Linked DNA regions of Callithrix jacchus. The protein of the gene in region 2 purifies or fractionates together with the protein of the main gene of each other region. This does not show direct contact. Links are inferred from orthologs where the notes say so. Each region holds a gene or a part of one and is shown on either strand. Other genes may lie near its edges.

What was found. The genes of interacting proteins can lie anywhere in the genome.
Region 1: the proteins of PPP6R1 (region 2) and ANKRD44 purify together in Homo sapiens (co-immunoprecipitation; 5 studies listed by BioGRID and IntAct, counting the BioPlex papers as one, with this or other methods). This does not show direct contact. The link is inferred for Callithrix jacchus from reciprocal best matches to the Homo sapiens genes PPP6R1 and ANKRD44.
Region 3: the proteins of PPP6R1 (region 2) and ANKRD28 purify together in Homo sapiens (co-immunoprecipitation; 4 studies listed by BioGRID and IntAct, with this or other methods). This does not show direct contact. The link is inferred for Callithrix jacchus from reciprocal best matches to the Homo sapiens genes PPP6R1 and ANKRD28.

Annotation. Positions count from the first base shown.
Region 1 is NC_133507.1:117,936,802-117,940,453, forward strand, and holds part of ANKRD44 (serine/threonine-protein phosphatase 6 regulatory ankyrin repeat subunit B), read right to left. Parts: intron 3,543-3,652; coding exon 3,295-3,542; 3' UTR 2,283-3,294; coding exon of another isoform or gene 2,224-2,282; 3' UTR 1-2,223. UniProt on the Homo sapiens protein: Putative regulatory subunit of protein phosphatase 6 (PP6) that may be involved in the recognition of phosphoprotein substrates.
Region 2 is NC_133523.1:48,097,718-48,100,808, forward strand, and holds the end of PPP6R1 (serine/threonine-protein phosphatase 6 regulatory subunit 1), read right to left. Parts: intron 3,006-3,091; coding exon 2,869-3,005; intron 2,776-2,868; coding exon 2,595-2,775; intron 2,462-2,594; coding exon 2,391-2,461; intron 2,284-2,390; coding exon 2,202-2,283; intron 1,689-2,201; coding exon 1,578-1,688; intron 1,494-1,577; coding exon 1,422-1,493; coding exon of another isoform or gene 1,418-1,421; intron 1,341-1,417; coding exon 1,337-1,340; 3' UTR 580-1,336; downstream 1-579. UniProt on the Homo sapiens protein: Regulatory subunit of protein phosphatase 6 (PP6). May function as a scaffolding PP6 subunit. Involved in the PP6-mediated dephosphorylation of NFKBIE opposing its degradation in response to TNF-alpha.
Region 3 is NC_133518.1:54,471,390-54,475,041, reverse strand, and holds part of ANKRD28 (serine/threonine-protein phosphatase 6 regulatory ankyrin repeat subunit A), read left to right. Parts: intron 1-342; coding exon 343-488; intron 489-1,062; exon of another isoform or gene 1,063-1,127; coding exon 1,128-1,210; intron 1,211-1,627; coding exon 1,628-1,710; intron 1,711-2,678; coding exon 2,679-2,770; intron 2,771-3,652. UniProt on the Homo sapiens protein: Regulatory subunit of protein phosphatase 6 (PP6) that may be involved in the recognition of phosphoprotein substrates. Involved in the PP6-mediated dephosphorylation of NFKBIE opposing its degradation in response to TNF-alpha.

The DNA.
Region 1 (3,652 bases), on a different chromosome or scaffold from region 2:
ATTGCTCTGATAACACTCAAATGAAAAAATACAAAACATTCCACAGAACATTTTCAGAATATACAAATATAAAAAGGCACTCTAACTTCATATTACAAGACAAAAAAGGGATGAGTTCTTCAACCAACACAACATATAAGCACAGCAAGTCGCTCAACAGTACAAAGAATAACGAGTACAGCAAATCCATTTGATGTTCTTGTTCTAATTTAATAATAAAATGATAAGTCGAGCAGTGTTTACTGCCTAAAGTACCAAAACATAGTATGGTGCCCTTTTAGTAGTGATAAATAGAAATCCCCTGAGCTATTTACTGTAGAATCATAGCAGATTTTAGGCAATTTGGAGATAGTAATGCATTTACCAAAGACAGGCAGACACTGGCAAATAAGTAAGAGCAATGAAACATGATCCCTGTGGCTGTGGTTAAAATACAGTCTAAAAATAACACTTAAGTAAAAGCACTAAGCAACTAAGACTCAGGTAAAAACACACCTTGTTTTTTCTTAGAAAGCCGTGGTGCAAACATAATTTTATTTCTAAGAGATGTCATCAAAACACAGAAATGATAGTTTTTAAAGTCACTTCTTAAAAAAAAATTAGTCTTGGGGGAAGGGAGAAAGAAAGCAAGAAAGAGATATCAATTGATGTAATGAACAGTTTGTTGTGAGCATGATTTCATTTTGTTCCTTTGTCCTCCTTCTATGAGTAAGAGAGTGGGAAAAAGTCAAAACGCAGCTCCATGGAGATAACGTCTCATGGTGAGTCACTGCTTTGCTGAAATGATCCTTGTACTCTCTGCTACTTGACAGGAAAAATGTTAACGCCGCTTTGCCATTAAAGCAGGCATTTCATTTCCTGCTTGAAATGCCAACTGAGCAAGATTTCCATTCACTTCTAGAAAAAGACACTGCAGCATATTGTGCTTTTTCAACACTGGATCGCTCTTAATTTTCAGTGTTTTGGTAAAGATAAGGTCATTATTGCTCGTTAGCAATTTATCTGCTTTTTAAAAATTCATCTTCTCTAAACAAACAAAAAGGATAGAAGGAGGGGAGCACAAGACCAGGAATTCAAAAAACAATGGTGGTGGTGCGGGAAATTTTCAGCAAAATTACCAGTTCAATAAGTCCTTTGAACAAGTTCTCATTTGTGAAGAACCCAACAGGAGTTTTAATTAAATCCAGGATATTAAGTAAGATTAAAGTTTTACAGCTAGATGAAAAATATAATACAGTTATCTGTCTTTGATCCAGATATAACAGAACACTATTTTTGAAATATCTCACATATCCTATAAAACAGAAATTTCCAGGGTGGAACTGGAACTCATTATAAAATGTCAGAGAGTCCTGCTCTAATTCGACACATTTCTTTCCTGTCTCTTCCTCAAGCAGAAAATTGCACTTGAGCTGGTGATTTTTATTTTTCCTCTTGGCACATGTGCCCACACACTGCCATCATTTCCCATTAGGTTACTGAGACTATGTGAGCTTTTCAGTGAACTTAGGGTAATTTCTGGATATTTCTTTGGGCTGCCTTTGTGTATATGATCTACTACATGTTTGAGTTTTTACCTCACAGAAGAACATCCAGACTGCAATGTCTTCTAAACTCAACTGGCTACAGACTATGGTAGCCCTCTCTAACCAATGCGGAAGAACCTGAGGGTCAGCTAGAAACCTTAGCAGTGGAAATGCTGGGTCGGCCTTAGGGCTTTTGGCTAGCCCAGGGTCAAATGTGTTTTTCCACTTTTGTTATTCTAAATAAGATACAAAGCAATTAAAATAGAGAACAAATAATGGATGTTTCCTTGCCATTTGTTTCACTTCAAATAAATATAAACACATTTACATCAAAAGTATATGGACATTTTCTCTAGTTTGGCAAAAAAACAAAACAAAACAAAAAACCATGGTCAACACATCATCAGTTACAAATGTTAAGCTGTCAACTAGAAATCTGTGTCATAAGAAATATAAAATACAACAAAGACTGGTACACAGAAAGAATACATTTTAACTCCATAGAAAACCTACTTCAGTTCTCACTTGCATTTTGAAGGAAAAGAATGTAAATCTTCTGTTTTAGACTGAAGCATTTTGGTCCTCATGTGTAGCTGAGCTGATGAACTACATACACACACACACACATATATATATATATATATATATACATGCACACATATATGTGTGTGTACATGTGCATAATGTTTAAAGAGTCTCATTCTTCTTTTTGTATAGCTGTTCCAGGTGTGGAACGGGGTCCATTTGACCTAGAAGCTTTGGCAGAAGGAGCAGACACAGTATTCACTATGTTGATTTCATCATCAAGCAACTGGCAATTGGCTTTACATTCTATATCACACATTTCTCCTTTCTGCTTTCACTTTTTTATTCCTTTTTACAGTCACACTTTTTACTCACATGGCATGACCTTGACTGAGAAGCTCAGTTTACTACTAATGAACAACGCTGATGATTCTGATGTTTTTAAAAAGTTAGTATTTTGATTTAAGAGGGAATTAACAAAGGGTAGTTTCATGTTAATTTTGCATATTGTGTCAAAGTTCTGGTGCAATATCATTTCACCTAAAATGTTATTAGATAAATTTGGGTTCAATCACTTAAGTGAAAATTAGTCACAGGCTTGTTAAAGGGAACACTGTGTTAAACAAGAAAAGCAAGTTCAGTTTTTCAATTCATCTGGCAACTTTAACAGAGATCCTCAGAAAGAAGTTCTGGATATTTAAATGCTTACTATAGAGGACTCTCTAAAAAGATTATTACAGGCATTATTTCTGAAGATGAACACCTTTACCTTTGGCTTCTAGTGAGGAAGTAAACATCAAAGTAAGAAGAGGTTTGAGGCATTTCCTATCTACCTCTTCCCTTCCCTCCCCAGGGACATGAATGTCACACTGATAGACTTCTGAGAACTCACTGCTAAATACATGAAAAGAAAAATTATTCAGAGTGAACAGCTGCCTCTCTGTTGTATTATCCCTGAAGAACAGGAATTAAATACATCTTTTATTCTTTACTTAAAATGAGAGGTAGACTTTCACAGATGTATCTTAGATCTAAAGAAAACGTGAAACAAAACCAAACTGAGGCCATCTGTGTGAGTGTTCCACCCAACAGCCTCACTGCCCTCCCTCGATTAATTCCTTATCTACTAACTTCTGGAAGCCCAGGCCCCAAATAATATTTGAATACAACATGAACCTGGAATTCAAGCTTCTTTCCCTTCCTCCAACACAGGTGATCAAGGAAAAGCTTCTACAGTCCAAAGTCAAAACGTTTCCGAATCAGAATCATTTTCATTGTACCCATCCTCCGAGCCTACGTTGTTACTGCACAGGCTAACCATGCTACCAAGATTGGAGAGGGTCGTCCTGCTCAAATTGTCTTTTTTTAAACAAACGAAGTTGACGGCCGTCATTGTACTGGAAGGAGAAAAAGGCATCATGGTAGCCAAAATGAGGGCCAGGCAGTCAGCCACGTCTTTGTTAGGAGCACAAGCCAGGGCCGGGGTATGACCTGGGCGTAAATGCAGACAAGGCAGTGGTTAGTTCTGGGGAGTCTAGAGGAGGAACGAGCATTCCACAGTACATCTCGGATGATCTCACAGGTGGAGATGTATGTTGAGT
Region 2 (3,091 bases):
CCACCAGGCCCTCAGGGGCTCCACCACAAACACTTCCTCAGTGGGCCACAAGGAAGGGGCCCGAAGAATGCAGGGAATAAGCACCCTCCCCTGCTAGCTGAGCCAGCCCTAGGTGACCTCCAAACCAGCTGCCACCGCAGTGAGGACACTGTCCTCATGACCCGGCCCACATGGTCCGGTGTAGCCGAGACAGAGGCTTCCTGGCACCGCTCCCCTGTTCCACTTGCTGTGCACCGGCCTACACTTCTACCTTCCGGCTCAAAGACTCAGACATACTGGGCACCACTGCCCGGCCTCAATGCTGGGCTTGGTTACCAAAGGGGGGTAGGAGCAGGGATTTGAGCCCCCGATGGCAGCTTCCATCCTCCACCCTCGGCCCTGCCCACAGGTGGGGTAGGCCTGGCAGGAGCCATCACAGCCAGTGCCTGGCCCAGCCTGTGGCCTCTGTAGCCACAGGGCTCCCTCTGGCAGGACACAGTGTGGGGGCAGACTGGGTTAGGAGTACCCCAACCGCTGGGGTACAGGGATAACACAGGCTGCCCTCCCCGCATCCCAGAATGTACGGTCTGACCAGCAGAATCGTAAACTGTCTTCCTTTATTTATATTTGCAATATGAAATAGAAGCTCGGCACGAACGCACACACACTCACACCAGCCTGGGAGGAAGGAGCTTGGACAAGGCCACTTGGCAACAGGGCTGGGACCCCAGACCCTCAGGGACCCTGGGGGTGTTGCCGGGGAGGCCCCTGCTCCCCAGAGCCGGGCTGGCCTGGTTGAAAGTGCAGGGTCTGGGCAAAGGCACGGCCCCCACGCGGGACCCTCTGGCACCCCCACCCTCACTTGGGCTGTCCCTCATGGTGGACCTGAGCTGAAAGGCCGGGTGTGGGCATGGCCATCTGTGCCTGAGCGTAGGATGGCTGGGCACGTGGGCGGCAACCTTGGACCCCTACCACCAGCCCCCACTGGGACAGGACGGGAAGCTGTGCTTCGGGCCGCCAGCCCAGCTCGGTGTTCTCACCTTCTCTCCCTCTCCTCCCTCTCCTCCCTCTCTCTCTTTATATAATATATAATAGACATTTCTCTCTCTCCATTCTCTCTATTTGACTCTCTTTATCTTTATTCTAGGAGGCAATGCTCCAAAACTTCTATTCTCAGTGCAAATGGGGTTGGGTTGGGCCTGTCTCCCTGGCACCAGCCTCCTGGGGGTCCAAAGGAGAGAATGTGGGGGGGTCAGGTGATGAGGGCAACGGGGGCCATCATGGGACTCGCCCTGCCCCCACCCTGGGAGATCCATGGGAGGACGGATGATTTGGCAGCTGCTGCCACACCAGGCAGCTACCTGCAAACAGAGAGAGATGTCGTGTGAGGGTCCAGCAGGCCCAGCCCCACCTGCCCAGCCCCAGGCTGCAGCCACACTCACTGAGAGCCCGGTGATGCAGGCCCTTCCGGGGCAGAGCCATTGGGCACTGGAGGAGGTGTGAGGGCCTGGGCACTGTCACGGGAGGGAGGGGATGTGCAGAGGTCACTTCCTGCCCGCCAGCCCTGCCCTGCCCTGCCCCGCTGCCCTGGTACTCACCTCTGGCTTTGGGTAAGCCCCAAAGGCTCTGGGCTCTTCTCCCCATCTGTGGTCTGTGGGGGCTGGTGGGCCCCGGAGGCTGGGACAGAGGTAGAGGGGTCTCTGGTTGCACTGTGGGTGAGAGGCAGGTGCAACTGTCAGCGTCACCTGCTGACACCCTCACACCCCTGACAATTTCAGTTGGCTCACTGGGTGTCCGCCACTTGCCCCACCAGAAGGGGCCTCCCGAGCACGAAGCTAGCTCAGTGCAGAGGGACTGCACAGCTCTGGGCAAGAGGACAAGCACCTCCCTTCATGTTCCTGTCCCTGTGGAGGAGTTGCTCGAGGCCGGTTGGGACAGCCCCAAGGGGTCTCCTGCATGCTCTCACCCTCCCAATCCTTCACAACCTCCAGGGAGCCTTTTCCAACCCTGGGGGCCCTGAGCATCCCAGGCTACTAAGAGAAGAACCAGCCTGCAGAGTGCAGGGGGCTGGGGCATGACATGAGGCTGGGCCTGGGGGTCCTGCAAGGGTCACCTGGAGCAGCTCAGGGACAAGACAAACCCAAGCCCACCTCACTGAGGAGGAGAAAAGACTTCTCCTGATACCAGCCCCTCCCCACAGTAAGCCCCACCTCATTGCTCACCTGTCCGAGGAGTTGGGGGCAGAACGGATCCCGTGGAAGGTGGCCTGGAGGTCCCCGACGCTGACCAAGGCCTGGCAGGGGGCTGTGGGGGATGAGAGGTCTCAGCCGCAGCATCCCAGCAAGCTCAGAGCTGGCCAGGCTGCTCTCTCTGCCCAAGGCCACAGGTGGGCAGGGCAAAGAGGGGCTCACCTGAGGGCTCCACGACTTTGCTGCCGTCCATGGCTTCCTGAGGTGCTGAGGGGTTTGTGGGGTCCTGAGACCTGGCAGGCGAGAGAGGCAGCCCAAGGGGGCAGCTAGGGTCAGCGCTCAAGCCTACAAGAGAACTGGGAGGCCATGACCACCTCCTGGCCTCGGGATACCAGCGCCATCCAGCCCGTCCCGTCTGGTTCTCACCTGAGCTGCAGGGCATCATGAGCTGGAGGGCTGGCCAGGCTCTGGGTGGGGAAGCCCTGGGGCACAATGAGGGGCCCCTGTGGGGCTGGAGGCCCAGTGTGCAGCTCTTCCTCCCCGGAGACTCGGGGGCTGGTCAGGGCATCCGTAGGCACTGGGTCAAAGGTGGCGGTCCAGCCGGGGCCTGGGGTAGAGGTGGGGGGGTGGGCAGCAGAGGATGAGCTTAGCAGCAGGCCGACAGCCTGTGGATGCCTGACCACACCGCCTGTTCATTCACCTGGAGGCTGAGGACCAGGGCTGGGGTAGGACAGCAGGGTGGCCCCTCCACGGGCTGCACAGCCAATGCCCTCCTCGTCTTCCTCCTCCTCCTCCTCCTCCTCTTCTTCGTCCTCACTGTCTGTGCTGCCTCCACTCCTGCCCCAGAAACCACCTTGTCAGTCAGCTGTGTGGGACAGACCAGCCAACCACCATCTGGTTCCCTGCAGCCAGGATCAGCCCAA
Region 3 (3,652 bases), on a different chromosome or scaffold from region 2:
AGTTAAGTTTTCTAAATAGGAATAAACATTCCAGCAGTTATAATAGGTGGCAGTATTCCGGTCAGGATTTCTTTCAAAATTTTCTTTAATGTAATATTATTTTAGCAATTTTGTAATCTTTACTTCAAACTTGTTCTAGTTTAAGGCCTTCTATATTACTGAAAGTACACATTTCTATGGGAGAAATCAGTAAGCTCTATTGAGCCTATTTGTATACAGGCAGTGCTTTTATAGCCTAATATGTAAACCCTTGAAAACTGCTTGTCATAAATAAAAGAATATTTTTTCCAGGGTATATAACATGCTAATTTAGTCATGTATTTCAATTTCTCTTTATTACAGAACTCCTCTCCATGCAGCTGCCTTCACAGACCATGTCGAGTGTTTACAGCTGCTGCTTAGCCATAATGCTCAAGTCAATTCTGTGGACTCTACCGGGAAAACACCTCTTATGATGGCTGCAGAAAATGGACAAACAAATACAGTTGGTAAAGAAAGTTCTGTAAAATTTTATTTTCCTAAGTATGTATATTACTTACATAGAACTTAGATCGCAAAACCTCTGACTTCAACTAGTTATCTTACCACTCCTAAGACTTATAACCTTGTACCTGTTTGCAGTCTACATTTTCATTTAGAGATACAAGTTTTAGTTTGCCCTTACCGATTAAAGAGTCTGCTTTACCATGGCCCTGTACCATAGTGGTTAGAACACTGGCTCTGGAGTTGCATTGCCTGAATGTGAGTCCTACATCTTCCAGCTAAGTGACCTTATGCCTCAGTTTTCTCATTTATAAAATGAGAAATATAACAGTATCACTTTGTGGGTTGTTGTGAGGGTTCAATAAATTACTATAAATCTAGAGCATAAAAAGTATTTTAAGTTTAGTGAATAGTCACAAAATAAATGTTAATTGCCATTGTTTGTGTGCCTGACTTATATAACAATATAATTGTCTCAAGCAACTGTATGAAGATATATGTTACATATTACAGTCTTTTTCTTGTACTTAAGTTTTTGTGAGAGGGACTTTTTTGCTTTGTATCTTCATTTCTCTACAGTGAGTTATTGGTAATCTAAGAAACATGTTCATAAACATAAGAATTGATGCACTTTTTCCTCCCAGAGATGCTGGTTAGCAGTGCTAGTGCAGATCTGACTTTACAAGATAACAGTAAAAATACTGCCCTCCATTTGGCTTGTAGCAAGGTATGTATACATTTTAAGAACATGCTTTTATTGTTAATAATAACAGTGTCATTAAGTTTTTTGACTTCACTGAAATGAACACAACTCAGGACCAAACCTCTCTAATGATCACTGGTAATAGATTTCTTGAACAAAATTATTGACTTACTAGGCACCATGCGTATTGAAGTCTACAGTAAGCTATTTTGGAACACAAACCTAAGCATAATTATCCTCTTTCTTTAATCTTAATTTTGTCCTCTTCTCCTACCCTCACTCCCAAGATGTGTTTTGGCAACTACTAAGATATTGGCCAGGAAAATTCATGGCATATGCATAGTGGGGTACATATTATATGGACTAGGGTTGTGGATTTTGGGTGTATAAATTTATCTTTAATGGTGCCCAAGTTTTTATAACTATTTGCCACAATTTTAGGGTCATGAAACTAGTGCCTTGTTAATACTGGAAAAGATAACAGATAGAAACCTCATCAATGCAACCAACGCAGCCTTGCAAACGTGAGTACTGTCGGTGTCTAGTGTAAACTTTTCTACCTATAATTATAAAAATGATAAATGAATTTTTTTAAACGTGACTATTGAAATAGGTATCATTAGTCATAGAAGCAATTTCAGTAAGTTTTACAACTGTCCAAACTCATTTCTAAAATCATCACAACTGAAAGGCATATTACTTAAAATGCTTTTGAACTGAAACTTTATTACAACATTGACAATAATGTATTTTTTCCTTAATCCACCTACCTACTTTTCTCAAGAAAAGGTGGTACTATTTTGTGTATTTTATGGAAATCAACCGTAATATGTTACTTGAAACTAACAATGAATGAAGTAAAAAGCTTTATATGTGTCTGTAAGCCAATAAAAGAATCAAGTTTTTAATAATGTGAGTAGCCAACCTCCAAATTGACTAACAGAAATCTTACATTAGTGTCTCATTGTCCTTTGCTATTCCATTTTGAGGTTTGATAAAGATAAAAATCTTATTGTTTCCCATTCTGGGATTAGTCAGATCCCTTGAAGGTCCAAAAATTAGTCATGATGCTTGTAAGCCGTTTTCAAAGCCTATTAGAATTTGTGCTACTGCAATTTGCAATTTTTAATATATAGTCTATGTCTTTACCAGCCTCATTTTTTAACAATGGAGGAATGCAATTTCAATGGTAAAATCTGTTTAAACGTTGAGTCTGAGAAGAAAAGTAACAAAAGAAGTGGGTGAATGTAGGGACCTTGTTGATGGGACCCATGGCTAAACTTGATGTCAAGCTACACGTTGACAGGTGTGACAGTACACTGTACAGATGTTCTGCTCTCCCTGCCCCCATCTTTGTTATTAGGACTAGTTATCTTGAGTTTGTACCTCTTGGTCTTCAAAACTTGACAGAAATGCTCTTTGACAGCCAGGTAGTATTTGTATGTGTATGCGCATGCACATATGTGTACACGTATCATGTTTTTTCCTCTAGACCTCTGCATGTTGCTGCCCGAAATGGGCTAACAATGGTGGTTCAGGAACTTTTGGGAAAAGGAGCAAGTGTGCTTGCAGTAGATGAAAATGGTAAGTTGGTTCTGTGTTTTCTTTTCTTAACCTAGAGCTTTTATTATTTGAAGAGAAACAAATTTGGATGTTATTTATTGGTCAAAGAGGAGAACTGAAATTAATATTGAATTGTTTGTGGCAAAGGAACAAGGGCAAAAGAAGTAGGAAAAGTTACCTAACAGATGAACTTCTGATTTCCTGTTATCATCTGTTAAACCAAAGTTAGTGTTTATTGTTTATATTTGCCGCTTTTTATTGTTTTAGTAGCCCAAGAGTTTGTTCTTTCTGCAAATATTTATTAAGACCCTACTTAAGTGCTATATTCTTATTTAAAGCCAGTGCTTCCACTCATGCACCAGATCCTGCCCCCTTTTGCCTACTTCATAATGTCACTTTGACAGTTCTCATTTGTGTCCTGCAGTGACAATTTTTTGCTCTCTCCCCTGATTATTCCCCTCGGTATATAAACATTAGTTCCCTCATCTTTAAAAAAATATTTTATAAATCTCACTAGTCCTCCCAGCTACTGCCATATTTGTTTCCCTTTGCAACAAAACTACTCTCTTGCTGTCCCCAGTGATTCTCCTCTCCTCTCTCATTCTTCCATTCTCTCTCTCTCTTTTTTTTTTCTTTTTGAAACAGAATCTAGCTCTGTTGCTCAGGCTGGAGTGCAGTGGCGTGATCTCAGCTCACTGCACCCTCTGCCTCCTGGGTTCAAGAGATTCTCGTGCCTCAGCTTCCCCAAGTGGCAGGGATTCCACCACCACTACACCGAGCTAAATTTTTTGTATTTTTAGTAGAGATGGGGTTTTGCCATGTTGGCCAGACTGGTCTCAAACTCCTGACCTCAGATGATGTGCCTGCCTCAGCCTCCCAAAGTGTTGGGATTACAGCCACAGT